Linked DNA regions of Struthio camelus. The protein of the gene in region 3 purifies or fractionates together with the protein of the main gene of each other region. This does not show direct contact. Links are inferred from orthologs where the notes say so. Each region holds a gene or a part of one and is shown on either strand. Other genes may lie near its edges.

Region 1 (9,548 bases), on a different chromosome or scaffold from region 3:
CAGCCCAGTACCGCTCCCAGTACCGCCCAGTGCAGCCCCCAGTACAGCCCCCAGTACCTCTCCCAGTACAGCCCAGTACCGCTCCCAGTACAGCCCCCAGTACCTCCCAGTACCACTCCCAGTACAGCCCAGTACTGCTCCCAGTACAGACCAGTGCTGCCAGCATAGCCTAGTACAGCCCAGTGTGGCGTAGTGTGGCCAGCATAGCCCAGCACGGCCAGTGCAGCCCAGTATGGCCCAGTGCAGCCCAGTGCAGCCCAGCACAGCACAGTATGTCCCCAATGCAGCCCAGTACAGCTCAGTGCAACCCAGCACAGCCCAGTATGGCCCAGTGCAGCCCAGTGCAGCTGGTACAGCCCAGTGCAGCCCAGTGCAGCCCAGCACAGCACAGTATGGCCCCAATGCAGCCCAGTACAGCTCAGTGCAACCCAGCACAGCCCAGTATGGTCCAGTGCAGCACAGTAGGGCCCAGTGCAGCCCAGTGAGGCCCAGCACAGCCCAGTATGGTCCAGTGCAGCCCAGTGCAGCCCAGTATGGCCCAGTATGGCCCAGTGCAGCTCAGTAGGGCCCAGTGCAGCCCAGTATGGTCCAGTGCAGCCAGTATGGCCCAGTACAGCTCAGTGCAGCCCAGCACAGCACAGTATGGTCCAGTGCAGCCCAGTGCAGCTGGTACAGCCCAGTGCAGCCCAGCACAGTATGGCCCAATGCAGCCCAGTACAGCTCAGTGCAACCCAGCACAGCACAGTATGGCCCAGTGCAGCCCAGTGCAGCCCAGTATGGCCCAGTACGGCCCAGTGCAGCTCAGTGCAGCCCAGTGCAGCCCAGTATGGTCCAGTGCAGCCCAATATGGCCCAGTATGGCCCAGTGCAGCTCAGTGCAACCCAGTGCAGCCCAGTATGGCCCAGTGCAGCCAGTATGGCCCAGTACAGCTCAATGCAGCCCAGCACAGCCCAGTATGGTCCAGTGCAGCCCAATGCAGCCCAGTATGGCCCAGTATGGCCCAGTGCAGCTCAGTGCAGCCCAGTGCAGCCAGTATGGCCCAGTACAGCTCAGTGCAGCCCAGTGCAGCCCAGTATGGCCCAGCACAACCCAGCGCAGGCTGGCCCAGTGCAGCCCAGTATGGCCCAGTGCAGCCCAGCGCAGCCCAGTATGGCCCAGCGCAGGGCCAGCAGGACCAGTACCACCCAGCGCGGGCTCAGCGCCAGCCTGGCGGCGCCTCTGCCCCCCGGATCGCCGTGCCCCACTGCTCCTGCCGAACACGGGCGATAACGCCGCCGTCCCCCCAGCCCCGGCCCGGAGGGGCTCAGCCCAGGCAGCGGGCCGCGGCGCCGCGCCGAGCAGCCGGCGCAGGAGGCCAGCCAGCCTCGCGCCTCACATGGGCTTGTTCCACCACGGAGGTGGGTTTGGGGGTTTTTTGGGTTTTTTTTTTTGTTTGGTTTTGTTTTTTAAATCCAGAAGAGCGCGGCTGTCTGTGATCTTGGGGACTGAGTTACTAATTTGGTGCGGCCCCGGATGCCTTTGAATCCAGGTTTGCAACGCACAAACCAGCTTTCCCAGCGCACTGCGAAGCTTCGCGTCACGTCAGTAGCGATTTGCTGAGTTTCCCAGGCCCTTGAGTGTCAGGAGAAAAATGTAAGCCTGTTTCCTGGTTGGCACACGGGCAATCCCAAGCGGCGCGGAGCCGGGCCCGGGTGCAGCCTTTCCCTCTCGGGGAGCAGAGCGGAGGCTGGAAGGAGCCACCTTTCTCCCCGGCTCCTTACCTTCGCTGAGCTTTCCGTTACCGAGCCCTTCCCGCGCTCCTGCCTCAGGCCGGAGATCCCACTTCTGGCCCCTCTCGGCAAGTCCCCCGAGCCGAGCCAGGCGGCGCGCCGAGAGGCCAAAACCGCTGCACGCCGGCTGCGGTCCCGCGGATTTTCTTCCCGTGGGGTCCCGACGGTTTCATGGCCGGTTCCCCCCCTTCAGAACCCATTATTTAACATGGATCCAGCATAATGCTGCTTCCCCCCCCCCCGCCTTCTTCTTTTTTTAACGTCTGAACACCATGAACAACACGTCAAATTCCTCCCAGCCACGGAATTGCCTCTGTCAGCCAAACCGTTGCTCGCAACGAGGAGAGAAACCGCTTTTGTCCAACCGGACGCCCCACAAAACCCCGCTCGCTAACATGCACCGCGTGTGCACTCTTGCCCCCTGGGTTGCTGCCTCCCAGGCCCTCCCAGCCCTTGGCCTGGCAGCGCTTCCCCGCTCGCCTATCGGCGTGGCGTTAGCGCTCCCCCAGACCTGCCGATTCTGCTCCAGACAGCCCTGAAAGGGCTCCTGGGTCTCAGCTAGCCAGGCTTACGGGGGGGGGGGGGGGGGGGGTTAAATATCTTCTCTAGCAGCTGTTGTCTCACATCCTCCTTAGCTCCTAATGGCCTGGAAAGTATTTTCTCATCCCGGGGAGAGTTGATCCAGCTCTAGCTCAGCAATATCTGCCCACCGCTTCGCTGTCCTTCCTAACGGGTTCGGCATCTGCATGTGGTTCCTGCCCTGGGCACTCCCCCTCTGGGTCCCAACCTGCTTTGAAGGGCTCCTCTGCGGCCCAGAGCCTTGTTGGAGTCACATTTTCCTTTGCTGTCTTTGGCTTCCCGCGTCGGCTTTGTGCACCGCGCCGGTATCAGGCCCCGTCTGGTCCGTCCATGACGCATCGCTTGCCTAGTCCCCCGTCTCCGCTGCAGCAGCCCCCAGGCAGGAGGCCCTTCAGCTGGGGCCAATTTCCTCTGTTTGCTTGACCACTCAATAAACCCTTCCCAAAGCCATCCCTGTCCCCACGCGCATTCCTCTGTCTGGGCCTCCTCCCCGGGGCCGCGCGTCCCTGCGCTGCCGCTGCACGTCGCCGCTCCGTCGCCCGCACGGCTCTCCTCCTCCTCCTCCTCCTCCTCCTCCTCCTCCTCCTCCCCGGCCAGCGCGCAGGGTGCCAGCAGGCAGCCGAGCGGGCGCGCGGCCCCAGCCTGCTGCCCGCGAGGCCCAGCTTATCCGCTCTGGTGACAGCACGAGCCGTTTTTCCCAAGGTCCGAGAAGCCGACGGGAAGGCGGTGGTTTCCTCTCGCCTCCGAAAGCACGCAGCTCCGGAGCGCCCCGGCATGCAGAGGAGCCCGGCCGGGCGCCCCGACGCCGATGCAGCCCTGCTTGCAAGCACGGGGTTTTTCCGGGGGGAAAGGGCACCCCAGGGGCTGTCCAACCTGGGAACGGAGGGGAGAAGGCCGGGCCGGTGGGCGCGTGATGTTGCCCGCAGCAGTTTTCTTTGCGGCGTGTCAGCTCAGGTCATTTCCGCCCGGGGTGACTCACGGGGACCAAGCGCGCTGTGTTTGCTCCCGCGCTATAGCAACCCGCCGCCGCCTGCCAGCAGCAGGGCTCAGCGCCGGCCCGTTTGCCGGCCACGGCCAGAGGTGACGGCCGGATCCCATTGCCTCATGCAGATTGTATGTGATAGTGGCTATCGCCCCGCGCCGCTCGCTCCAGCAGCAGCAGGGCTTCCTGATGTCACCTCGGCCAGCCCACGGCCGCCTGCCTGCCTGGAGCGAGGTGTGAGCTCTCCTCCTGGGAAAAGTGCCCCGTTTGCTCTTTTTTTTTCTGTTTCCCCAGGATTATGCCTCTGAAGGCTCAGCTGAGACACAGCCTGGGCACGCATCAGCGCTTCCCGCGGCCCCTCTTCCCACGCTCCCGCCGCCTGCTCGTCCCGCGGGAGCGCCTGCTCGCCTCCTCCCTGCGCCAGCAAACATCGCAGCTGTTTTTTCCTGCTCGCCTGAGCGAGAAGTTGGGTGGCCGCAGCGTTTCACGCCCTGAGCCGATCAGATCCGCGCCTCTGCCAGGCAGGCTGCAGTTTCCTGCTGCAAACGTTCCCAGCTCCTTCCCAAGGCCCTCCCGGCTCTTTCAGATACATCCACTATCGCCCCTCTGCTGGGTTAATCTCAGTGGGAAAAGACAAGGCCTGGCAGGCAGCGGGGCTAACATCCCAGCGGGAAACAGCACGGGGGCAGAGAGGGGCCACAAGCACAGACCAGCTCGTAGCAGGGCGGTCGTGCCACCGGGCTCGTCCCCAAGCCGGGGCCTCTCCTGCCGGCCGTGGGGAAGGCTTGGAGGATCCAGGCTTGCATCCCGACACGGAGGGGTCGCCACCGGCTCCCGCTCTCCGCTCCGACCTGACCGGCCGGGAGCTTTGCTGGTGCCGCCCGGCCGCTGGGATATGCAGAGCAGCAGCAGCACCGCTCCACAAATGCCCCAGGGCAAAGTTTTTCCGCATGCAGTACAGGAGTCTGCAACAGGCCTGCGGGTGGGCGCAGCGCCGAATTCAGGGTCAGCTCCTGCAGGTGTATGCCTTGGGGTTGCAGGCCCTCTGAAGCAGGGTCTGCACTTAGAATATGACAAATGAATGGGGAAGGGTTTTTTTTTAAAAAAATTCTCCTTGCAATTCCCCGCTCTCAGGAGCGTCGCCTATACCCTTTTACTTGAATAACCAAGTTGACATTGCTCTTTGCACCCAGCTGCTCACCCTGACACTGAATCAATATTTACCGGGGATTTCATTACCCATCAGGATCAAGATTTGACTCCATCTCTGTCACCTCTGCAAAGCTGCTTCCGCTGGTGGTCCGGACGGGGCTTCCCCCACCGCACGGCTTTGCAGAGCTGGGCCAGGAAGTCCCGGCTGGCTGAGCGGGCTTGCAGAGCTCTTGCCTGCCTGACATGAGTTGCAGGCTCTCTTATCACCGCCTAGATAAGCAGGCAGATATCTGAGCAAGAATTATCCAAGCGGCAAGTGTCAGGAGATGGGTGGACACTTTCTGGCTGCTCTCCCCACAAGATATCAGAGTTCTTTGAGCTTGACACGTATCAGCCTCAAAAATAAGAGATTTAAAAAAGAAAAAGAAGTGGTGGTGAGCTGGGTACCACCCAATTACAGACCCGCTTCCCAAGACTGAGCATCTGCCGTCCGCTTCCTTCCTGTGTGTCCTGCCCAGAGCCGCATGCAGCAACGAGCGGGAGATGCTCTGCCCTGGGCAAGCAGCAGCCTGTGCGCCCGTGCACCCGGCGTGCCACGCTCCCCCGGCCCTGCCGGCACCCTCCCCGGCTCGCTCGCGGCCTGGGCGCCCGGCACAGCTCCTCTCCATCTCCCCCTTCACCCCCATCTCCCAGAGGGGACGGGGAACAGATGCAACAGCACGGCATAAACCCCGGGGGGGGGGGGGCTGCTGTGGGACCCCAGGTGCCTGGCCCCACAGCATAAATCAGGGCAGGCAGAAAAGGGGACACAGCTTTATTTGCAGAATTTAAAAAAAAAAACATGCCCAAGGGAACGGCAGGAGGTGCCAGACCAGGGTGCTGGTGGGGCAGGCGTGGTGGCACGCGGCTCCGCAGAGGCTCCCGTGGGGCAGCCAGCATCCCAAAGGGGCTGCCGTGAACCAGACCCACAGTTGTCCCACCCTACTTTAACCCAGACCCGAGCATCTGCCCTCTCCCGCTGGCCACGCTCGCGGGGTACGCCCCCCTCCGCGTCCTCTGGCTAAGAACAGCCCTAACGAGCGATGCCGAGAGCAGCAAACTGCTTTAAGGCCTCCAGCGTGAGCGGTCGCCCTTGGCCGCTGCGGGTGAGGGACACGTCTCCTGGGCGCGGGCAGGGCGGACTTTAACCCAAAGCAGGCACTGCCAAGACCGGGAGGCGCAGGATCAGGCCGGATGGCCCCAACCAGCCTTCCCTGCCTCCTGCTTGGATTCGGCTTCCAAACAGAGCCCACCCACCCGGGCTGGAGAAACACCCATGCACCGCATAAATCAGCTGCCTGGGGGACTGGCCAGGCTGAGAGTACCCCCCACCTTTCTGTCCTTTGCACCTTTATCCCGCTGTGCAGAAAGCCACACAGTCGGGGGGGCTGCAGCCGTTCCGTTTCGGAACCCCTCCTGTTTCTTGCCCTTTGCCAAAACCTCTTCTGCTTCCCTGCCCAGTGCTTTCGGGCTAACCCACACTCAGCTGCCAGTGCAACGGGTGGTTTTGTTTGTTTTTTTGTCACAATGATGAAATGTTTATAGCAACCAACTTTCAGTGAGCTGCAAACTTCACTGATCTCAGCCCGAGCTTCCGAATAATGGCAAAGGAAGGACAGCCCCTTCCTCTGGGGTTAGCAACTGCTGCGTTTAAAGCTGCCAAAAAGCAGGGGCCTTCGCACCAGGCATGACCATGCTGGAAACCATCCAATGCCCATTGCTCTCTGCACAGGTGCCTCGGGGACGGCCCGGACCCAGGTCTGCGGTGGCAGCAATATGCCCGTGGGGATTCCCTGGGAGCTGGTCTCCTCCCGAAGGTCTCCTTTCGGCCACGAGCTGTGGGAGCAACCGGCGGAGCGCGCTGAGCCGGCATCCCTCGGCTGCTCCCCAAGAAGAGCTGGGGCACCGCAGTGCTGGGAGGACGGGGACCGTCTCCGCCGGCCTCCCCAGTGGGGGGCCCTGGGAGACCCCAGGGCCTCGACCTGCCCCGCCAGAGCCGGGAGCATCGCGGACGAGCGGCTCTGGAAGCCGCCCTGCCGCCTGTCTGCACGGCTCGTGCTCCAGGCCGGCGAGATTTACTGTTTAATGGAGAAAAGATTATGTCTGCTGACAGCCCGTCTCCGCGGCTCGCCCCGTCCCCCCAGCGTCGGTGCAGCACGGAGGAGAGTGCCTGGCTCAGACGCAGGTTTCCTATCCAAGTGCAATACAGCTGTTTCTTCTTCCTCTCCAAAAACCGAAGCAAGTTTTGAATCAATTTGTCATGCATTTGCTTCGACCGAGGCTCCGTCCGGATGTGACCCAAGCCTGAACTGCCCAACCTCACAGCATCGAGGCTGGACTCTTCCCTCTGGAGCGGGCTTGAGAGCATTACTCAGGCGAGCAAAGCACGCGGAGGGGAGTATCCCGACAGCAAGCCCTGCGGCTCAGCGCCAGCCGTCTCAGCGGGAGCGCCTGCTGCGGGTCGGCGAGAGGAGGAGGAGAGCCAGAGGCTGACGGGCGGGCGAGGGACTCGACACCCAGAGGCTTGTCCCCAGAGCCTGTTTGAGGAATCTCCCGTTTTCACCCACCCGCAGGCAGAGCCTGGGGCGAGGCAGCTGCAGCCTGGGTTGAGCTTCGTTGTGTGTTTCCTGTGGCTGCACAGACCTCGCACAGCTCGGTTCCTACATCTCTCGGGGTGCTGGGAGCAAGGAGGGCCAACCCGAGCTACTGCACCTGCATCACCAGTATACAGCAACGCCCAAAACAAGCTGCAGCCTCGACAGCCCACCAGGAGCCGACGGAAAGGCTCAGCAGCGGGGTGCTGACCGACAGCACAGGGCCCCGTGGACAGAGGACCAGCCCCAGAGACCAAGGGAGGACTCAGTTACAGCTGCTGCAAGACAGCTGCATCGCACCAAAACCTGCAAGAAGAGGAAGCAGTCAGGTACCTTCACTGGTCCACAGAAAGTCCTGGGCTGCAAAGCAGCTCTGGAGGACTCTAGTCCAAGGCCCGCCCCAGGCAGGCCCAGCTTCCCAACCCCAGCAAGCTGCTTGAGGTCTCATCCAGTTGTTTTCTCTACCATTTGCACATGGCCAGCAGATTCCTTTCAGGGCAATTCCCCATCATCCTGCGCCATGTCTTCCCGCTCCCCCTGCACTGCCACCAGAAGCCTTCCCAGGCTCACCAGCATCCGGGAGACCACATTTTCCACTTGGAAGCAAATAGCACTTCCTTCCACGAAGCCCATGGAGCTGTGGGTATGGTGGGGCCAGGGTCCCCCTCCATCCTGGTATCGGGGCAGGGAGCAGTCACAGCAGGCAGGAGAACACAGCAGATTGCTAAGCTAGGTCAAACCTGCCTTCACCACGGTGTGATGGGGCTAAATGATCATAAAACAGCCCATTAAGATTCATTCCAGGGCCCTGTGGAAGAAAGCAGGCTGCTTTCATTAGCGCAGCACTCACAGCTCGCGCCGGAAGGAGGATGTGGTGGCGGAGCCCAAAGCACAGGAGGCTGCAGCTTCCTTGCCCTGTTGACAGGGGCTTTGATGATGCTCTGATGAAGGCAGGGCGCACTACCTCCTGCCCCAGGTGCTGGCACTACCCAGTAAAAGTGCTTTTATTTAGAGCTGGATTGCCCTGAGCCTCTCCCCAGCCAGCACTTGATTTTGCCAAAACGTTATCTGGTTCCTCACTAGTCCCTGCTGGTTTGGGCTCTTGCCCCTGCAATTATCTGCTCCTGGAAAGCTGGTCTAAAAAGTTTTGGTTTGGAGCCTTGTTTGGAAAAACCAGGAGACCAATTCACGGATCTTTTTCCCCCATAGGATGCACTTACGCAAGCCCAGAGGATGAGGAGGCTTGCGCTCGCTATTATTTTTAACATTAAGGGCAAACTACCTCATCGGCATGCTCAAGGCCTCTGGGACTACATCACTCGTTCGCTATGAAGCCCAGTTTGCAGAGCAGAGCACGTTGGGTGCCAGCTGTGCTTACTGGGCGCCCAGCGCGGAGGGGCAGAGCCCGCAGCGCCGCCGGGGACCACGTCTCCTGCGCGCCAGCGCGCCCAGGAAGGCTTCTGGGGGCAGCGTGGGGGGAGCGGGAAGGCATGGGGCCCTGAGAGACCTCGCTGGCGGGGAGGTTCACCCGGGACCGGACAGAAATAGCCCTTATTTGCCTTTCTGCAGCCACAAGCATTCGTCAGGCTAAGCGGGTGGCAGGCGAGGCAGCTCCGGCTGTTTGAATTTGTGAGGCTGAAGTGTGCTTTGTGGGTGCGGAGACTGCTGGCATCAAGCACAGGGGAGGTTTTAAGACACTTGTCACACCACAGATTTTGGCGCTAGTCAGGTGCCTCTGACCCCTGAGGGTTTGGGGCCAAATCCTACAAAGACCAGCGTCACAGTAAGAGGTGGAGCAGCTCCTAAAGAAACGTGTGCGTAAACGGGAGATAAAGTACCCAACGCGCGTTGTGAAACACATCAGAACGCGTAAATTGGGAGGTCCAGGTTAGGAAAAGGTGTGCTTGAGACACCACGTTAGGAAGGTCCCTCACACCGCCGCCTTTTACGTCTGCCAACTGTCTTTTCCCATCAGGGCGAGAGGTCGCAAACAGGAAAGGGCAGCGCCTGCGAGCGGCTGGCGCTTCCTAACGCTGCCTTCGCCCCGGCAGGAAGCTCGCCGCCGCGCACCCACTGAGCCTTTTCAAGTGACTGGTCAAAGCTGAAGCAACCGAGGTGACAGTCGACATGAGACGGTCCCACCTGACCTCGGGGCTGCAAAGCCTCCTCCCGGAGCTCGGAGGAGACGGGGAAGAGCTGGAGGCTCTCCAAGGCACGGCCGGGGGTGGGACGCGGGCCCGGCCCCCCGGAGCCTCGAACCGGCCCCAGCGGGGGAAGACGGCCGGCGGGGGGGGGCTGGCGAGACCTCTCGCACCTTGCCGCGCAGCGCTGCCCTCCCCGGGCCGCTCCAAGCCCCGGCAGAGCCGCGGGCGCCAGCCGAGCCCCTCCGCACGGAGGACGCGCCGGCAGCCCTGCCCAGCGCGACCCGCCGCC
Region 2 (9,965 bases), on a different chromosome or scaffold from region 3:
ATGCTCAAAGCACAGCTCCTGCTCACTTCCCTTCCAGTTGTTAGTCAGAAATTCTGCAAATCTGATCGAGGGGACCTAAGCAGTCGTGAAAATACAACAGTGGAAAGTCTGGTGGAAGAGGCTTGCCTAGCAACACACAGGAACCTGTTTCTGTAAGACCGGACTTAACTGCCTTAATTATGAATGAGAAGATTCCTTCACTCCCACAGTCCCACTTCACTGGCCAAATTCTGACAGAACTGAAGCACAGTTCTAAGCTCTTATTCCAGAAAAAAAGTTCAATCCTGTGTAACAGGAGAAAACCCAGCCTCATGGGGGAAGAGCAGCATACAATAATTAAAGTAAAGACAGTGTTGTAAAACTTTGTACACAAGGAAGTGAATTAAGACTGCACAGCAACCTCTGTACTGTGCCAAGATATCATAGATGCCGAGTTATCGGTTCTGTGCAATTTGCAGGGGAGAGGGAAGAGGAGAAAGAGGGCAACTGCGGGAAGGATGGGGAACGGTCCTTACATAACTTTGGAGAAAAAACAAATTGCACTGCGCAGCATCTATTTACACCGCTGGGGCTACCGACAGTGTTAGACCACAGGGCTCCACTACACAGACCTCTGAACTGTCTGAGCAACACTACTCATCACCCGCTCCTCCGCAGGCTGTAGCAGAGGGAGATGAAACAGATGCTTTACCAGAGAAGCTCTCACGTATTTATTGGTCATGCGTCAGTCAACTTGCACTCAAGGCACCCTAGCCATAGCTACCTTTAATGCTGCACCTTTGTACAAACGACAAGTACAACATAGTATCACGCATGACAGCGGTTACAGAGGTCTAGGCAATGGAAACAGACTCTCGGTATAAAATCATAAAGCTAAAGCTCCCTGATGGCAACGTGAAACGTAGATTATCTGAACTTACATGCAATGTTAATAGCTTGTATTCAGGTACATTTAAAAAAAAAAAAAAAAGAACAAATACAGTGTCTCTCGATGCAGCTCCTCAGAATCCAGCAGGCACCAAAAGTTTTTTACAAAACTGAGAGAAGTCTAACAGTACTGACAAACTCCTCAAAGCTCTCCAATAACTTTTCTTTCTCTCTACCTAAACTGTGAGAACAGACCTACCACGTTTGAGAGAATCACAGGGAATGGCCAAGAGAGGAGGAGGCTATTTTACATAAATGACTGGAAAACTTATTTCCTGAAGCAGGCATCAGATCGTACAAGGCAAAGCCATGAGACCACCACCAAAGGCAGCACCTCAGCAGCAGACAGCTTGGGGACTACCTGCCTCGTCTCTTTAGATCTTCCCTTTGCTCCACTAGCCTGCTGTTACAGGAAAGACGGTGGCATAAAACAGCACCTCTTCCAGGGCTTCCTCCTTCAGTACGAAGAACAGAGGTAGCAAAATTAGTCCTGGGCCTAAAAAATATTTACATTACTCGATACCAGTACAGTCTGTGATGACCTTCAGAGGGACTTGCTCCAGTAAAACACGTCCTTCAGTAAGTTATTCCATCAGCTATTCAACCTCGGTTTTACAAGCTTACGCCCACCTTAATCTTGGGTTTGCCTGCCAGCGAAACAAGGAGATCGCCTAGCCAAAGCTGTTCCCTCTCTTGCTTGGGAATTTACGTTCCCTGGCTACCTAGGAAACACTTCCTAAAGAAGTATCCTACCTTCGCGACAAGGTAGGAGCAGCTGCATGGAGCAAGGCCAAAGGTTTCCGGCTCCCCCCGGGGCCCGGGGTTGGCGTTCACCGAAAGGATAACGAACGCGAGACAAGCGCGGGGTGAGCCTTGCCCAGCGTCAAGCCTCCCGTTTCACGGCAGCCAACGGAGCAGGGCCACCCCGACCCCCGAGACCGCCGCCCTCCGAGGCTGCGACCGCCCCCCGGCCCGTCACACGCTCCCGCAGCGGCCCCCGGGTCTCTCCTCACAGCTCAAAGGCGGGCGGCGGGGAGGGGGAGGCAGGGCCGTGCCGCAACCGCCGCTCCGGAGCCGCCGCCGCCGCGGGGCCCTGTCAGCGCCGCCGCCGCCCGCCCGGCACCTGCCCCCGCGGGCCTCCCCCCCTCCCCAAAACGGCCCCGAGCGCCGCCGCGGGGTAGCGCCACACCTACCCGCGGGGGCAGCGCCCCGTCGTGCCATGCCGCCGCCGCCGCTCCCGCCGCCGGCCGCGCACTGCCGCCCGCCCCGGCCGGCCGGCCGGCCCCTTCCGCGCCGCGCCGCACCGCGCCCCGCCCCGCCGAGCGCGGCGGCGGCGGCGCTCAGCTCGAGGCCCGGCTCGGAGCGGAGCGGGAGGCCACGGCCGCCGCGATGGCGCTGCCCGCGGTGTGGGGAAGGGTGGGAGGTGTGAGGGGAAGGGGGGGGGGGAAGGACCCCGCGCGCGCCCGCCGCGCGTGCCCGCCCCGCCCCCCACCCGCGCCGGCCGCCGCGCCCCGCCCCAACGGCCGCGCCCCGCCCCAACGGCCGCGCCCCGCCCTAACGGCCGCGCCCCCTCGGCTCTGAGGCGACCGCGGCGTGAGGCGGCGGCCGGCCAGGTCCGGCTTCAGCCCCGAGGCGTCCTGGGGACAAGCAATGCTGGCGGGTCCTTGACCGTGTTCTGGGCTGCAGCCGGGCTCGGCGGGGTTGTGGTTCACCGCACGGCGTCTCTGGAGGGGGGGAAGGGTGGTTTTTGTTTTTCCTCAGCCGCTCGTGAAGTTCGGCGGGTAGGTTGCCTCGCTTGTTGGCTTTGGCAGGTTTGCAGCCCTCTTGGGCGTTAAGGCCGTTAGCGTCCTCCAGCAAAACAGCGTGATGGGCGCCTCCAGGAAAAGGTAAAAAGTGAGAGGGAGGACAGCCAAAGTGCAATGGGAGGGGGAAGGCGGCTGCCAGACCACTGTAGCTAGGCCTGGAGCGGGCCTTACATTGACAGAGCATGTTTTGTTGCATTGCAGGTTGTTTTTTTGTGCTGCAATTATCAGACGTGAAACTGAGGGAGAAGGTGCCCAGAGGCACAAAAACATCGAGTTGCAGGTGAGTCTTGTGATTCAAGCTCTCAGCTGGACGCATTTGATTTGTCCTTCACACCTCACTTACAAACACACCTCCTTCACAAACTTTCCACCACTTCTCCCTTATACCTCTCTTCTCAGCTACTCCATCTCTCCCCAAAAGTTAGCTACAGATGTTTCCCACTGGCTCTCTTCTGCTGCTCCTCCTCATTTTAGCATCTCCTTGGGAGCCAGGAAGCACTTGGCAGGAAAAGTCACCAAAAGCTTCTCTCATTCCATTTTCAGAGGTGAGGGAAGCAACCCAGTCGTCCTCAGCCAGGATGCCTTTCATTCTTCATTCCCCTGGAGAGAAAAACTGAACTACTTCCACGGCTATACATTATCGCAGTCAGATCAGGAAAAAAACCTTACTGATTGGACTGGGCAGGCAACAGCCAAAAGGCCAAATACCTCCCACCAGAACAATCCACTGATCCAAGCCTGTTTCTTGAGACTCTCCCTCCCTTCATGGCCTCACGATTGTTTCCCCTGTCACGAAGGACAGGATGTGCGTTCAATCACTTCAGAGAAGTGCAGGTCCCCTGTTGTAGGACTGCGCATCCAGTCACATGCACAGACGTGCACAAGCACATCAGAGCAAGGGACTGGGGACCACAGAGCCCAATTAATGACCAAACGTGCGTTAGTCACGCGCTGGAAGACAGCTGCACGTCGGTCATATCACAGACCACAGCTGCCTCCACGGGGGCTTAGCGATCTGACTGCTGTGGAAAGTTCAGAGCAGATTTTCAGAGCTCAGTGAACACCCACAGTTAAATTAGGGATATGAAGACACATAATGAATAGCGTACAAATATTAAAATGCTACAACATAAAGAAAACATACAGCCTCACCTGTGCACCAGTAGGGATAAGTGGCACATGGGGTGTGCGAAACAAGCCCAGGATTTACAATTACAGTACAAGCATACCTTACCTGACTCTGGGGACAAAGCTGGCTGGGGGGGGGAGCAGTACGGCTGTCTCAGGAAGGAAAAAGTGAAGTCCTGGCCAGCTGGAAGAAGCAGAGCAAGGAGGCAGCTGCTGGCAGTCTTGGAAAGCCACCGAAGATGGCCAGAAGGTAGGATGGGATCTTCTAGAGACTCATGGGCCTCTGTTTTCCATCCCCACCCCTCCAGGAAGTCTGAGGCAAGGCAGATGCCAGGGACAGCTACACTTTCCCACAGACGGTAGAAGACCTTCCCAAGAGATGATTTGGCAAACTGAATTCTCACAGTATGCTCAGGTATGTCTCAGCAAAGTTAGTGGAAGAGCTGACTATTTCTAAGAATACTTCTGTGTGCATTTCTACTCTGAAGACCTGTGGGGATCTAAAGGCAGGGGAACTTTTCCCTTGACTTCAGCTGGTCTTGGATGAAAGCCCCAAGAAATACACAGTAATCCAACATGGTGAAATTATGAAATACGTTACAGAATACTCATATTTTCTTAGTATCAAAAGAGAAGCCGTTATGTAATACTTGCTACTGTAGGGGAACGGGAATGTCTGCTTAGTTCATGATTACAGGGTAAGTAGTAGCAAGTTAATGTTTAACTATGTTGTTGTAATTTTGTTCCATCCCTCAAGACTCTTAAAAAAAAACAGTGGAAAAAGTCTGGAGTGGTTTTATTACATGACACGCAAATACCACCCTATGATCCAATTTGCAGCCCTTCAAAATGAGGAAATTGGTGCTTTGCAAAGCAGGGCGTCTGACATTCTGTAAGTTAAAGGACAGAGGTCCGGTTTCCCCATGTCCCATATGCCGTTGTACTGGAAAAGCCACGGTCTGTTTCTGTCCTTGCTTTTTAGGAAGGTATGAGAAACAAATGCTTGAATATGCTAAAAATATGCTTGTTTGACGCTGAACTGGTGGGACAAAAGTATTACTGTAGGGCTGATGTGTCCTTTGCAAACCCATAGCCACTCTTTTATTGGCATGAGTATCATACAAAAGCATGCACAGCTACTACTCTTTCTGTACTACAACTGCTCCACTGTGGCTTAGTTTGCAGTCTTTGTGCCACACAATGAGAAACAAGTAAAGCTTCTGCAGCTTCCTGGCTGAGGCCGCGAAGCTTGCGGAAGAGGCAAAGCCAGTACTGCACTAGCTCTGGCTGTGCCCACGGAGACACGCACCTTAACGGTCTCTGCGGTGTACAGGGAGCGCGTAGAATCCCCTTACGCAGTTTACATACCCTCTGCTGGGCCCCGCTGCACAAGACATCAAAACTTCATAGAACTCTACTGCCTATTTGGAGATAGGCCTTTTTTTATTGGGGACCAGTGTGCTAGCTGCTGTACAAACACTGGGTGAAAAGATAATCCCTTTACCAAAGGGCCCAACGTTACACCCAGTTATCGGGACGCATGCTTGCAGTTGCATTTCTCAGTTTTTCCTCGCTTATTCATTGCCCTCTCGAAGGTTTCCCTCCCTGGAGGACCACCGCGTACGGCACGAGACATCCCCGCTGCAACGGCGTGCCCCGCTAGCAGCACGGTCGCTTTCAGCGCTGCGGCTCGTCCCCTCAGGCGCTCGGCGCAGCCGGGATGTGCGGCTGTGACTGCACGCGCGAGCTGTGCCCAGGCCCACGGGCAGCCGGCGCGCGAAGCCCGCGCCGCCGCCCGCAGCCGCCCCGCCGCACCGCGCAGCCCCGGGCCGCCGCCCGCCCCGCTGGCGCGCGCGCCCCGCCCCCGCGGCCCGCAGCGCGCCTGCGCGGGCTCGGCGCCGCAGGGCGGGCGGGCGCGCGGTGACGCGGAAGGCGCGCGCGGCGCCTGCGCACGGTGGAGCGGCCGCCATGAAGGTGGCGGTGGCTGGCTGCTGCCATGGCGCCCTGGACAAGATGTACGAGACGTTGGAGCTGCTGCAGCGGCGGCACAACGTGCGACCCGACCTGCTGCTCTGCTGCGGCGACTTCCAGGCCGTGCGCAACGAGGCGGACCTGCGCTGCATGGCCGTGCCCGCCAAGTACCGCCACATGCAGACCTTCCACCGGTGAGTGCCGCCGCGCCCGGCCCGGCCCGGCCCGGCCCCGCCCCGCTGCACCTGGCCCGGCCCGCCCGCTCCAGCGGTGTCCTCTCCCCGCAGGTACTACTCCGGCGAGAGGAAGGCCCCGGTGCTCACCATCTTCATCGGCGGCAACCATGAGGCGTCCAACCACCTGCAGGAGCTGCCGTACGGCGGGTGGGTGGCGCCCAACATCTACTACCTCGGTAGGGCTCGGCTGCCTGCTCCTGCCGTGCTGGCCGCGGGCGCCCCTGCCCCTGGCCCGGGCCCCGGCTGGCCCCCGTCGTGACGAGCTACCCTCCCGTCTCCCCTAGGTTACGCAGGTGTGGTGCGGTTCCGCGGTGTGAGGATCGGCGGCATCTCGGGCATCTTCAAGTCTCACGACTACCGGAAAGGTACAGTGGGGAGGCCGTGGTGGAGTGGCCCGGCGCACGAGCGGCCACAGAAGCAGCTCCCAGCCGCGGCAGGAGGCTCTGGCTCACCCCCCTCATAACTTGGGAACTGACTTCTGACACTGGAAGCCTCCCTTGGCTTTACATGTGGATTTCTGTGGCTTTCTGGAGGTGGGCGGTACTATGGTAGCTGCCTGCTGACCATGTTAGGAAGCAAACGCTCCCTTTGAGTGTTATGGTTGGGACAGTCTTGATTCTTCCTTGGCAGGGCCCTTTTAGCATCTAATGTAAGACTTCTTGGTTTTTCTTGTGTAAAACAGGCAATTTATAAGTGGGATATCATACAAATGTGCTGTCCTGAGCTGAGGCTTAGTGTCAGATTGTTTCCTCCAGATATGTGTATGTGCATTCAAGAGCCCTCCCTTGAAGGGTCTCCCTGGGTGGTCAGAGATCCGATCACAAATGTTAGGTGCTGTCAGCAAATGGTAGAAGATGATTAGTCTTTCTGATCCCCTTGACACATGGGATAACGGTTTCTTATTTGTAATTACTGTACTGTGAATGCTGTCTTTCATAAGATACTGCTTCAGAGAAGCTTTGCAGGTGGCTTTCATGCTGCAAAGTAATAAACTACTCTTCTGAGACAGTTGATGATTCTGTTTAATATATTAATGCTAATTAAATGTCATTGTCGAGCAGACAGCTTGCTTACCTGAATATTGCTCATGGGATATTAGGCTCTTTCGTAATAGTGCTAGCTACTAAAAATGTAATCCTGCTGTTCATCCTTCAGACTATGTTGGAGCTCTGCCGGATACTTATTTTTCTTGTAGACTAGATTCCCCTTGGTAAGGGAACATTTTTGCCTTTCCAGAGTCTGCGGTACCTGGGACAGTACCAGACGTGACACTCTAAGCTGCTGCTGAATCTGGCAAGCTGTGCTTTCATAGTTGGTTCTTGAAGAAACACATGAAATCATAGCATCAGTGGCCTGAGTCTGGGAGTCAGATCTGATGCAGTGCCTCATGACCTTTTTAGCTTACACCTCTTTTCAATAAACTCTTGTGACCTATGTTCTGCCTATTGACCCCTCCTATAGAGAGGTGCACTGTCCCTTCTCTAAGGTAATGCCAGTCTTTTTCTTGTTCATCATATGTTCTTTGGCTGTGCCAGTATCATGGGATGTGTGGCCATGGGAACTGGCTCAAGTAATAGCTATCTATGTCGCGTGGCTATGCAGTGAACAGCTCTCCACATACGCGATGGCATGTGGCTATGCTGGCGTAACTGTGAAGGTAAGGGCTGTGGTGAAGTAATGGGAGGTGTTATCTCACCTGAGTGGTACAAAGCCTCATTCAGGAATAAAGCACTCGAGTCTTTCTACTGAAGTTACTTGTTTCAGACAGTTCCTGAGTTTTAAGCGTTGGAGTCAAACTCCTAGCTTCCAGTTGTGGAAACAAGATTACTGTATTCTCTACATTTGGAAAAGTAAGAGAGCGACTGGAAGAAGTGTACATTGTTGTGGACACATTTTTAGAATATACTTGCTGCGTGCATGAAAGGAGTTAGCAGACTGTTGGTGTAAGCCTTCTGTAGAGGAAATGCAGCATCTCCTTCAGTGACTAGGAGCCTTGTGTTTGACGTTGCTCTAGATGTCTGTATGACCCCAAGAGGTTAGCTTGCAAACAGTGTTAGGAGGCAATTGTTGATGCAGGCAAGTATTCTTTCTTCTATGTTTCAGGCCACTTTGAGTGTCCACCTTACAACCAGCAAACAATAAGAAGTGCTTACCACGTGAGGAATATTGAAGTCTTCAAACTCAAGCAGGTTAGTGAAAATTTTAACAAAAGTAAAAAATGATTTTCATTAATTGAGAAATAGATATTAAAGCTATTCTGAACAGTATACTATTATATAGCTGAGACTCTTCTGCAACATTATATAATGTTGACAGACCCATTTATGCTGGCTGTGATTCTGCAGTTGTTCCTGCTACGTGTCTGCTCCACTGTTTTGCTTAGCAGTACAAATCTGATTCGAATCGGGCACAGGCGGCATGTGTGCGTTTTTTTTGTTGTTTTAACCTATTAAAAAACAAATCTCACAGTGTGGGAGGTGCTTCAGCTACATGCATTTGTTCTAGGTTTATGTTAGGTGTAGGAAGATGGGTGCTACCTTGTCTAACTTAAAGCCTGGTTGGTACAAAGTTAACTAGTCAAAATATGCAGAAGTTGAACCAGTAGAGTGAGCTGATGCCAAATTCCTGTGGTTAAAGCATTTTTGACCCAGGGCTAGCAGCCCAAAGGCCAGATTAACTTTACTATTGAGCCATGGACTACTCCCTGCTTTGTCACAAGGGATCACACTGTTTGTCCGAGATTGTGGTGTGAATGCATGCTTTTATAAGCATCTTGTGAATGATTCTTCAGGTTGCAGTTGTGCACTTACCTGTTCAGTAGATGCAAGGATAAAGGTTTGCTCTTCCTGTGAAGGATATGATGCGTTTTTCTGTGAGTTTCATACTAGCTGGACTCAGGTTTCTGCTAGAGGTGTGGTCTGATACAACTGATGAAAATATGCTGAATATTGAACCAAGATGTACTTGTTTCATTGAGACTGGTGCTTCCTTTGAGGAGGAGTATCACACACAGCCATTATCCCTTTTAAACAAAGCTCTTAAATTTTGTGGGGAAGATGACGACTTTGGTGTGGCAAGAACTTTCTCCACAGCTGTAATTTCAAGCGTTTATTCTGAGTGTCTGACACGTATAGAGATGTTCTGGTATCTCTTATAAGGCAGTATATATAAAGCACAGCTTGCTGTCTTGAGAAAGTGTAGCGCAGACTGTGGGGACTGGAGTCCTTTGATAACTTCAAAGGCCACCTGGAAGATTGTGCTTACTGGTGTAACTTCATTGCTTTAAAAAGTGAGGCTGTAAGTCACAGTTAGCTATCTGATCTGAGATAGAACACCTGCTGTTACACAAGTGGTATTTTGTGCTGTGTAAATTTGAAACTTGTTCTAAATATGTGTTTTACTTATATGCATTTTTGGCTTGATAGTTAAAACGTCCAATGGATATATTTATGTCACATGATTGGCCAAGGAGCATATATCACTATGGGAACAAGAAACAGCTTCTTAAAATGAAATCCTTCTTCCGTCAAGAAGTGGAGAGCAACACGCTAGGAAGCCCTGCTGCTTCAGAGCTTCTGCAGCATCTGAAACCCACCTATTGGTTTTCAGCACATCTTCATGTGAAATTTGCAGCTTTCATGCAACACCAGGTAAGGAGAAAAAAGTCAAGAAAGTATGTATCCCAAGTGCATTTAAGAATTCTAGTGCAGGTAGTCATGTCCAGAAAAGTAACTGTTCTTAATGTTTTCACTCAGTTATTAAAACTCAGCTGAGGTAAGCCCCAAGACATTAAGTAGTCTTAAGACTACTACCTTATGTAAGTAGAACAGATGTGTTAAATCAGTGGGGTGACTACCTAATCTTCAGAGACAGCACGAAATGGCTAACTGCTGAACTT
Region 3 (9,770 bases):
GCTTTGGAAAGAGGATTACCATTTCACTCTCAAAATTCAGTGCAGCAGAAGGTGGGGAATTAAAAGCCAAAACTGGAGGTGGGCGGGAGAATCCTGCGGTTGTCCCCATTTGTCACCCACTGTGTATATTTGCAGAAAGCTCTTCAGTGCTTTTTTTGCATTATAAAACTTAAGAATGGAGATTCAGACCTCTTGGAAAGAGTGAATGTTTCATTTTGCACATGTAATACAGCTGCAGTTATTCTTGTTGGGAGCAGCTGTGTGAAAGTTGAACACAGCTGATACTTTATGTACTTAGTACCAGACAAATGGCCAACAATGAATCTGCCTGCTCTGGTTTTGTTATATTAAAGCTTAGCATCAGCCCTTTGTAGTTTTTAAAACTGGGGCTCGCTCCTGCATGTTGTAGTGTACCAGCTAGGGGCCAGAATGCCTATTAGGTAGGTAGTAGGTATGCGACTGTGAGACGTGGCAGCCCTCATGCATTCAGCTCTTCTGTATAATGCAGAGTACTGATATACATTAATTAGCAGACAGCTATAAAAACACTAAAGTAACTACTGTTAATCAAATGTAAAACCAGTGTCTGGTTTGTTTGTATGTTTCCTGTACATAAATTAAAAGCCTCTTAAGTTATTCAAGTGACTCAAGGTTGTGACTTTTCAAATCAAACTGTTGAAAGTAGGGTGAGGTTTCTGTTGTGCTTGTGCACATGTATCACAGTCTCTTGTTCTGTGAATATTACCGGCATGTAGTGTCAGCGTGTTAAAAATTGAAGTACAGTGTGAAACAGCTTCTACTTTTCTGCTTCTGAGCTGATGACTTTTACCAACAAATGAAGCGATTCCAACATGGCTATTGTGTAGAGGCTCTGAAATACAGAATCTCTTTGCTGCTATTCTTGATACTGAAGTGAGAATCCTAAAGCCACCAGGGTGACTGTAAAATCCTCTCCGGCACTGAAACTTTACACACACCTATTCTGTACAGCAGCAGCTCCAATGATGTTGCTTCAAGCACTTGGAAATGGCCTGCTTTTTGGATCTAGCAGTCTCAGATGGTGTAACCCTTTGCGTCTGTGCAAAAAAGCAGGAGCTGGAGCCAGCTTCTCATGACCGCAAACACGGTTGCAGCAAGAAGATGCAATTCTGTGTTGAGGCTGTAACAACTAGGTTGCTACTCTTGAATTCTCCAATGGACCAATTAGGTCACGTCTGTTTCGAGAGAGGCAAAATGTTTTGCTAGAAGCCCAGCTTCAGTAGGATTGTTTTGTTGCCTAGTTCCATACAAGCTTGAAATAGCTGTTTAATGGCAGCTGTATTTGTGAAGCCCTCCTGAAGTGGGAGTGGAGACAAATGCAGAAGGGAACTGTGTGCTTTCTGTGATCTTGTGGAGGTTCAGAGGGTGACTTATATGTGAAAGGGCCAGGCTTGCTACTTTTTCTACCTGGGTGAAAAGTATGAAGCTGTAAGCGCTGCTGACACTTGTACTACAGGCAGCTTCCTAATTGACTTCAATTGCTAATATGACTAGCTCCTCCTGTCAAAAATCTTGACTGACCCTTGTAGAAGCCATTTGCTGTAAGGAGCAGTAGGAGGCTGCCTCAGTCACCACGCCTCACAGGCTTGGAGATTCTTGCAAGATTGTATGCATGTCAGATGTTTAGGCGTTTATACTGCCACTCATTCGTACTACTTTGCACTGTTAACTTGCTATCAGCTGTCTCTTGAAGTGTGTGAAGTAGCACTGTATTTGGTCAGGAAGGGCCTATATGTGCTGTGTTGCCATGGTGTCACTTCAAAGTTTTAACACTACATAGTACATTTCACTGGGATCGCTTGATTAACGACCACAGTTGGGCAGCATGAAGCTAGGCTGCTGGAGGAGGGGTGGAGGGAGGGCTGCTGAGTTAAGGGATATGCGTTTGAGAGAGGAAATGGGACTGCATCTGGAAAGGTCTCAGGAATGATGTACTTCCATCATCACTTGAACAGCACAGCTGTAGTGCAGTGAGGGATATGTAACTGTATAGCCACTTACACGTTTCTCAGCCTTGTCTTCCTTCTAGCAGGCTGATTAAAACCTGTTTTATTGTCTCTGTTAAGGTGGCCTCTGCCAGGGTCTAAAAACAAGTCACCACTGAAGATCTCAAATACTCAGCAATGTTAACATTCCTTAGATTTGGTCACTTTACCCTCCTGTCCTCTGAAGCATCACTCTGACCTGGGCTCATCTCTACACCTCTGCCAGCTCTCTGGAATGATGGAGTATCAGTAGGTTGCAGCATGCTTCTACAGCCCCTGGGAATTGTAGTTTTCTGATGTCAACATTCAGTTTAGTGAAGTGCAATGAAACGTGACTTCCAAGAGAGGGCTTTGCTGCACAGCCAAAGAGGAGCTGTAGGTGCGTGGGGAAGCATGATGCTCAAAGGGATGGGGAGGGCAATGTGAATGCCTTCTTTCAAGAATCTTTTGGCAAAAAGCAATCACTTCAAACAGTAAACCACTATGTTGCTTCATCAGTCCTGTATACTCCCCTTTGCTCTGACCAAGACTGGAGGGACATGCTATTTGTGTTGGTCACTCTTATGTGGGGCATTTAAAGTCCTCAGGAATGTAAAACTGGGGCTTCAGAACGCTTCTCTTTTACTCTGTGTCCACCGTCATCTGCTGGTGGTTGTAATACCTGCCTGCTACTAGAATCAGGGGTAACTGTACTCACTGTAACTGGCTGAGTGAGACCAGCCAGTGCAGCAAACACAATCTGTTTGGAATTTGGCTGGAACGTGCTCTGAGCCCACTCACCCTCCCCATTGCTGCACAGCATTGCTCCCACAGCCAAACTTCTGCCAACCTGCGGGACCACAAAACACCCGAGAGCCAGACCTTCCCACTGCATACTTACACTTACATGATGCTTTGAGTCAGTGCTCGGGGGGGAGATCCAGCTGCTCCTTTGTGTCCTCATCCTGGCTTCAGCGTATGACCATGCATGCCTGGAGGGAGAGAGCAGGCTCATGGCCTAAGGTGCTACAGCTGACCTGTTCTTGTGCCGTTCTTGGTTATTGTTCATTGGTGTTTTGTTCTGAGCCAGCAGGCAGCAAAATCAGATTAAGGGGTGAGTACATACACTAAAGTTATTTTTCTTAACAGATGGTGTTCTTAGATTACAGGAACAAGCTCTCCAGGCCCTAGTGCACATGTGGTCCATTGCTGCTATTTTCTTTCCTAAATAGTATCCCATGTGGTGACTGGGACGAGGAAGGTGAAAAAGTCATTAACAAGGTCAGGCACAATTTCACTCAGCTGTCAGAATCTCACCCCCACGGGACAGAGAGGGAAGGGAGAGGTGCCACAAGAGAAACTGAAAATGACAGCAGGAATATGTGAGACCACAGAATAAAAAATCAGCAGGATGACCAGGTTCTTGGAGAAATGCGGCCATATATGAACAAGCAATGTCTTGGCTTGGAGGAGTCTCAAAAATGTGCACGGAACGGAGCTGTCTAATTGCCATTTCTCTTTCACAGAAAAAACTAAGTACAAACTGTAACATGAATTTCCCTTCCAAAAAAATGCTTAAACTAAGTCTGCTAGAAGGACTTGACTGAAAAGCTGCTTACAGCCCACAGGACGGGGGGAAAAGGATTCAAACTAACGTCACCTTTGGCTGTTTCTCGTAAAAGTAACCCCCTCCAAATGCACTTAACAAAATACACTTGCATTCCTTACTGGGAGGACAGTTCTGCAACTGGTATCGTCTGTGTATTTGTGTCTATAATTTCTGTTTGACTTCCCAAATCCACAAATGATGGTATTGATTCAAACAACTATAGACGTGCATAACACTGCCTTGAGGAATTCTGAGTATTTCAATATTGTCCAATGCTGCCCCAGTCTTTGTGAGCTGGTTCTCAATTATATGTCATCCCCTTAGAACCTGCATGCTTGTACTTGTCCCCCTGTGCTTTCTTGAGCCCTTCTTGTACACACAAATAATAAACAGGTAAAAAAGAACTCTGCTGAAGGGTTGACTGCAGTGTCCTATCAATGCTATATCGGTGCTGTGCTGCCAGGAGGGTTTTGTGTGAGTTCAGGCTAATGAGAGCTTTTATCACACAGAAAAGCAATCAACATCTGAGTGGCAGTATTAAGCACTGTAAAAAAGTAAATGAAGTTTCCACGCTGTTGTGGGAGACGTTTAGACAACGGAAAGCTTCCATCTATAACTCAAAGATGGTTTCAGCCTCTGCTAAGGTGGATGGCAAACTGCCCTGTCTGGTTGACCTCAACAAGTCTGTTAGAGAGCTCTGCCAACAACTTGCCCTCTTTTCCCAGTTTTTCAGCTCAAAATGGGAGGTACCTCCACTCCCAGGGCGGACGGGGAGGCTGCGGCGCAGGCACCACGTCCCCTGCTCCGGTCTCGGCGCTGGTCCAGCGTCACGGCTGCCTGCCGGCCCTCGGCGTCCTGTGGGGAAGGGTGTCCGTGTGCCGGGGGGACGCGGGCCCTTGGGGAGCGCCTGATGTGACAACGCTGAACACACCAGGCGTCCGGAGCCCAGCGGCCTCCCCTGCCAGCACCGCTGGGGGCCAGCTCCGGAGCAGGGTCCCCGAGCAAACGGGAAGACAGCCGCCTCTCCCGCTCCATATTTCGGTGCTCCTCGCGCTGCTGCCCACGCGGTGACTGCGGTCTCGAGGGCGGCGGACGCTGCTGGGGCTGAATGCAGCGGTGCCGGGCTGCCCGTGGGGCCACCAACCCGGCGCTCCCCATCCCCGAGGTGGGGGAAGCCCCACCACCCCACAGCCCCACGTTGGCGTGTCGCCCCAGGGGGCCGAGCACATGCACCTTTGCGTCCTCGAAGGACGCCAGAAACCACGTGAGCTGCTCCAGACGGGGCAGGCGAGCCGAGTCCCACTAGGCGGCTCCCCCCAGCCGGCCCGGCCCAGGCTGCGCCGCGGTCACGCGTGGGACAGCGCCGCGCTGCGCCCCGCCCGGCCGCCAGGCGGCGCCCGCGCCCCCCGGGCCGCGCCGTGCCTGTCTCTTTAAACGCGGCGGGCGGGGGCGCGCTCCCATGGTGCGTCGCGGCGGGCGCTTGGATTTTAAATCCTCTCGACCAATGGGGAGCGCCCTGGCGCGCGTAACGCTCCGGCTCCGCGTTTGAAATTGTTACAGTGTTGCCGCGGCGGCCACAGCGCTCTGCGCCCGCCCGCACCGCACCGCAGGCTCTGCGCCCGCCCGCACCGACCCTCGCCGCAGCGGCTCCGCGCCCGCCCGCCCGCACCGGGGTTACCGCGCCGGCTCCGCGCCCCTCCGCTGCCCCTCGGCCCCGACCCCGGTCGCGCCCTCGCGGTCCGATGAGCGCGGCGGGCGGCAAGGCGGCGCGGCCGCCGGGGGCGGCGGAGCCGGGGCGGGCGGGCGGCGCGGCGGCGGCGGCGGGCGGCAAGGAGGTGCCGAAGGTGCTGGTGGACCCGCGGACCCGGCGCAGCTACGTGCGCGGGCGGTTCCTGGGCAAGGGCGGCTTCGCGCGCTGCTACGAGCTGGCCGAGGCCGAGAGCCGCGAGGTGTTCGCCGGCAAGGTGGTGCCCAAGTCGCTGCTGGTGAAGCCGCACCAGAAGGAGAAGATGTCCATGGAGATCGCCATCCACCGCAGCCTGGCGCACCGCCACGTCGTCGGCTTCCAGGGCTTCTTCGAGGACGCCGACTTCGTCTACGTGGTGCTGGAGCTCTGCCGCCGCCGGGTGAGGGGCTGGGAGGGCTCCGGGCCGGGCAGGGGGGTCTGAGGGGGGATCGTGCCCTGGGGCCGAGCAGGGGGGTCCGGGGGCTCTGGGGAATCGGGGCAGGGGGAGTCTGGGGGGGATCGTGTCCTGGAGCCAGGTGGAGGGGAGCTCTGGGGGGGCCGGGGAATCAGGGCAGCCCGGGGGCCGGCACACTGACGGCCTCCCGCAGTCGCTGCTGGAGCTGCACAAGCGGCGGAAGGCGCTGAGCGAGCCCGAGGTGCGCTACTACCTGCGCCAGACCATCCTGGGCTGCCAGTACCTCCACAGCCACCGCGTCATCCACCGCGACCTCAAGCTGGGCAACCTCTTCCTCAGCGATGAGATGGAGGTGAAGATTGGTAGGTGCCTGTGACGCAAGTGTCCCCTGCCACAGCAGGGACCCCGACCTCAGGGGGTCCCTGACAGTGTGGGGGCCTCTGGCTTATGTGCTCATCTTCCTCATGTCTCAAAGGTGACTTTGGCCTGGCCACCAAAGTGGAGTATGATGGAGAGCGCAAGAAGACCCTGTGTGGGACCCCCAACTACATTGCCCCAGAGGTGCTGGGCAAGAAGGGGCACAGCTTTGAGGTGGACATCTGGTCCATTGGCTGCATCATGTGAGTCAAAGCACCCCCCATGACTGGGCTGTCCTGTGCTCCAGGTCTCCTGGCGGTTTTGGTATAAGCTGAAGCTTTGGGCATGCTGTCTCCAGAGCACCCACCCTGGCTGAGCACTGCTGTTAGACCTGCTCGGCTAATATGCTCACATGGGGGCTGTCTTGAGGTATTTTTCCCAAAAGCCCTTATTCCTAACCAGAACTTTCTCCAGGGGTACAAAATCCCAACTCCCCCCCTCTGGGAGAAGGAGCTAGAAATAATACTTCTGCCTGCTGTACCAGCTCTTCCTGGCAGAGGGAACAAGGAAGTCATTGGGAAGTCACAGGAGGCACTTCAGGATGGGGCTGCTTCTGGACCAGGGGTGTTGTAGTCCCCCTGCAGGCTGCCTCATACAAAACTGACACACTTCTATGTCCTTAAACACACAGGTATACCCTGCTGGTAGGGAAACCACCTTTTGAAACCTCTTGTCTAAAGGAAACTTATATCCGAATTAAGAAGAATGAATATACCATCCCCAAGGTATGGCACTTCCTGTGGGTGGACTCAACCTTGCAGCAGGTTTTGGTTGCCTTCTGCAGCATTCTGCTTCTGACACTTAATGAGCTCTTGCAGAATGGTGAAACAGCTCTCCTTGCTGAGTGCTATGAAGGGGATATTTCAGTCTGTGGTAGAACAGACCTGTGGGGTCAGCTTCCTACTGAGGAGCCAGCAGCTCCTCCTTGACATATCAAAAATCTGAGCTGGGCAGCTGGCACATGGAGGAAAAGGCCATGGGGTAAACTAACTTGCTCAAGTCCAGCCACAGATGAGGTCTGGACCAGGTCCCCCTGCTCTATTCCACTGTTGGTTCAGTCTTGCTAGTCAGTTGACTTAAAGCTCTGAACTCTGCCAGGAGATTGTACAGGTGCTGGTGAGCTGTTCTGTTTCCCCAGGCTGGCGTCCTGTGTGCCTGCTGCAGCACAGGAGCTCTGCTTTGAGAAGAGCTGTCCCCATGTTGCACACCCTGTGCACGTTGCTCCTTTTGCACACTTTTCCTTGACTTTTCTTGTTTCTAACTCTGCCTCTGTTTTCTCCTAGCACATCAACCCTGTAGCTGCTAACCTCATCCAGAAGATGCTGAGGTCTGACCCTGCCACACGCCCAACTATCGATGAGTTGCTGAATGATGAATTTTTCACATCAGGATACATCCCTAACCGCTTGCCCACCAGTTGTCTCACCGTCGCACCTAGGTTTTCAATTGCTCCCAGTGGGCTTGAACTGAATGGGCGAAAGCCATTGACTGCACTCAACAAAGGTGAGCGCAAGCACCTGGGAGCCGAGGGCTGTGCGCTGCAGTGCTGGTTGAAAGCCTACCTGGCCTCTGGCAATATCCAGACCTTTGGTGGGGAATGTGATACTGCCTCACATCTTCATGACTCTCATGAAAAGCTGGAGTACACTGTGAATGGGAGGTCTCCTCCCTGCTTTGAGTCTGGGCTGTGTCAGCACTAGCTTTAGCTATATGGTGTGTAACATGTTTCTTACAGCTAGGGTTGAATGTAAAGCTGGTGCCTTTAGAAACCTACTTCCTGGTAATGCCTCCACACTCTTCTCTTTCTTGGCCCAGGACCAGACAGCCCTGCACTAGAGAGCTTGCCTGAAAAAGATGATGTAGCTGGGCTGCGGGAGCTGGGAGATGCTGTTGACTGTCACTTAGTGGACATGTTACAGCAGTTGACTGCAGTCAACTCAGCCAAGCCATCTGAGAGAGTGGCTGTGAGACAAGGTGAGCCTGGGGACAAACCCACAAGCACTGGCCTTCCTAGGTAACTTGCTTTTTTGTCATTCTACTGCTGTTCAAAGTGAGGGGCCAACTGATCTCCTTGGCTTCAAACTGGAAGGCAGAGAAGTGATGCAGTAGCTACTTGCCTGCCTTTTGGCCTTACTTGCTTACTGCCATGTGCAGGATGCCTTAAAACGTCTTCTAATAAACTGTTCTCTTGGCAGAAGAGGCTGAAGACCCAGCCTGCATTCCTATCTTCTGGGTTAGCAAATGGGTGGACTACTCAGATAAATATGGTCTAGGTAAGTAATAAAGGGACAGCACTTCAGCCTTTTCCAGTTTCTGAAGAAGCTGAGGGAAGTTGTGATTCAGGCATTGCATGTGTGAGATTCTTTAATCTGGCAGTCAAACATGTAGGTGTCTAAAACCACCAAGAACGTTATTGAATATGCAGTGAATCCAGAGCAGTGGTCACTGAACATCAGCTCATGCCACTACAGGCAGAAAACAGCTACATGCTTAAAGGGAATGTGGCCTCACTCTGCAGTGAGCAAATGGTACCCAGTACTATAGTTACTAAAACTTCCTTCTGTGGCAGGTGATGTGACAAGGGAGGGTGATAAATCCGGAGGAGGAAAAGTGCCACCCAGACCTCTGCAAAGCAGAGGAGCCCTAGATTTGGTGGGGTGTCTGTCAGCAATCCCTTACCTGACACAATTCTACCTTGTGTTTTGCGCAATCAGCAATCCTGTGTATTTGAAGGTCTAACAGACTCCCTTTTGGACTAGGTTATCAGCTGTGCGACAACAGTGTTGGAGTTCTCTTCAATGACTCCACTCGTCTCATTATGTACAATGACGGGGACAGCTTGCAGTACATTGAGCAAAACAGCACAGAGTCCTACTTCACTGTGAGATCCTATCCCTCTGCCTTGAACAAGAAGGTCAGTTCTGGGGTGGGTTCCAGGGGGAAGATCCATCTCTTGGGGCCACTTTCATCCTGCAGGCTTCCTCTTGGCTGGTATAACGTGGCCCAAAGGAGAGACACTAGCAACTCTTGCTGTTTCCAGTTGCTAGCTGAGGCTCACTTATGAGGAGCTTCAAAGAAATACGCACCCAAAGCATGGTATGCATGGTAAATGGTATGCATGTACCAGAGTGCTAAGCAGAGCGAGTCTCAAGCATTGCCAACTAGGTTAACTTTGCTGTCTGAGTATGGGAACTTGCACAAGTTCCTACAGTGACCCTTCAAGTCCTGAAAGACAGCAGGCAGCTGTGGGACTGAAAAGCAGGCCCTGCCCCCCACCATGTAGCATGGGCCATCTCCAGCCTGTCTGCCCTTCCTGTCTGCAGATAACACTATTGAAATACTTCCGGAATTATATGAGCGAGCACCTGCTGAAGGCAGGTGCTAACATCACGCCTCGGGAAGGAGATGAGCTGGCTCGTTTACCCTACCTCTGCACATGGTTCCGGACCCGCAGTGCCATCATCCTGCACCTCAGCAATGGCACTGTGCAGATCAACTTCTTCCAGGTGAGAATGCTACTCCACATTTTTCCCAAAGCTGCAGTTCTAGCTGCCCTAACAGCTCTGCTACAAATGGTGCTATATGCAAACAACCTCCTTA

Evidence for each region. The genes of interacting proteins can lie anywhere in the genome.
Region 1: the proteins of PLK1 (region 3) and NOS1AP purify together in Homo sapiens (affinity purification with mass spectrometry; 3 studies listed by BioGRID and IntAct, counting the BioPlex papers as one, with this or other methods). This does not show direct contact. The link is inferred for Struthio camelus from reciprocal best matches to the Homo sapiens genes PLK1 and NOS1AP.
Region 2: the proteins of PLK1 (region 3) and DBR1 purify together in Homo sapiens (affinity purification with mass spectrometry; 3 studies listed by BioGRID and IntAct, with this or other methods). This does not show direct contact. The link is inferred for Struthio camelus from reciprocal best matches to the Homo sapiens genes PLK1 and DBR1.

What each region holds. Positions count from the first base shown.
Region 1 is NC_090949.1:9,628,798-9,638,345, reverse strand, and holds the start of NOS1AP (carboxyl-terminal PDZ ligand of neuronal nitric oxide synthase protein), read right to left. Parts: upstream 4,216-9,548; 5' UTR 4,207-4,215; intron 1-4,206. UniProt on the Homo sapiens protein: Adapter protein involved in neuronal nitric-oxide (NO) synthesis regulation via its association with nNOS/NOS1. The complex formed with NOS1 and synapsins is necessary for specific NO and synapsin functions at a presynaptic level.
Region 2 is NC_090950.1:5,484,199-5,494,163, reverse strand, and holds the start of DBR1 (lariat debranching enzyme), read left to right. Parts: upstream 1-5,750; 5' UTR 5,751-5,828; coding exon 5,829-6,025; intron 6,026-6,118; coding exon 6,119-6,243; intron 6,244-6,351; coding exon 6,352-6,432; intron 6,433-8,170; coding exon 8,171-8,256; intron 8,257-9,492; coding exon 9,493-9,717; intron 9,718-9,965. UniProt on the Homo sapiens protein: Cleaves the 2'-5' phosphodiester linkage at the branch point of excised lariat intron RNA and converts them into linear molecules that can be subsequently degraded, thereby facilitating ribonucleotide turnover.
Region 3 is NC_090956.1:1,056,926-1,066,695, reverse strand, and holds the start of PLK1 (serine/threonine-protein kinase PLK1), read left to right. Parts: upstream 1-5,354; coding exon 5,355-5,738; intron 5,739-5,946; coding exon 5,947-6,115; intron 6,116-6,228; coding exon 6,229-6,373; intron 6,374-6,801; coding exon 6,802-6,895; intron 6,896-7,453; coding exon 7,454-7,673; intron 7,674-7,985; coding exon 7,986-8,144; intron 8,145-8,365; coding exon 8,366-8,443; intron 8,444-8,929; coding exon 8,930-9,084; intron 9,085-9,493; coding exon 9,494-9,676; intron 9,677-9,770. Other genes in the region: DCTN5 (dynactin subunit 5), read left to right, coding at 2,106-2,126. UniProt on the Homo sapiens protein: Serine/threonine-protein kinase that performs several important functions throughout M phase of the cell cycle, including the regulation of centrosome maturation and spindle assembly, the removal of cohesins from chromosome arms, the inactivation of anaphase-promoting complex/cyclosome (APC/C) inhibitors, and the regulation of mitotic exit and cytokinesis.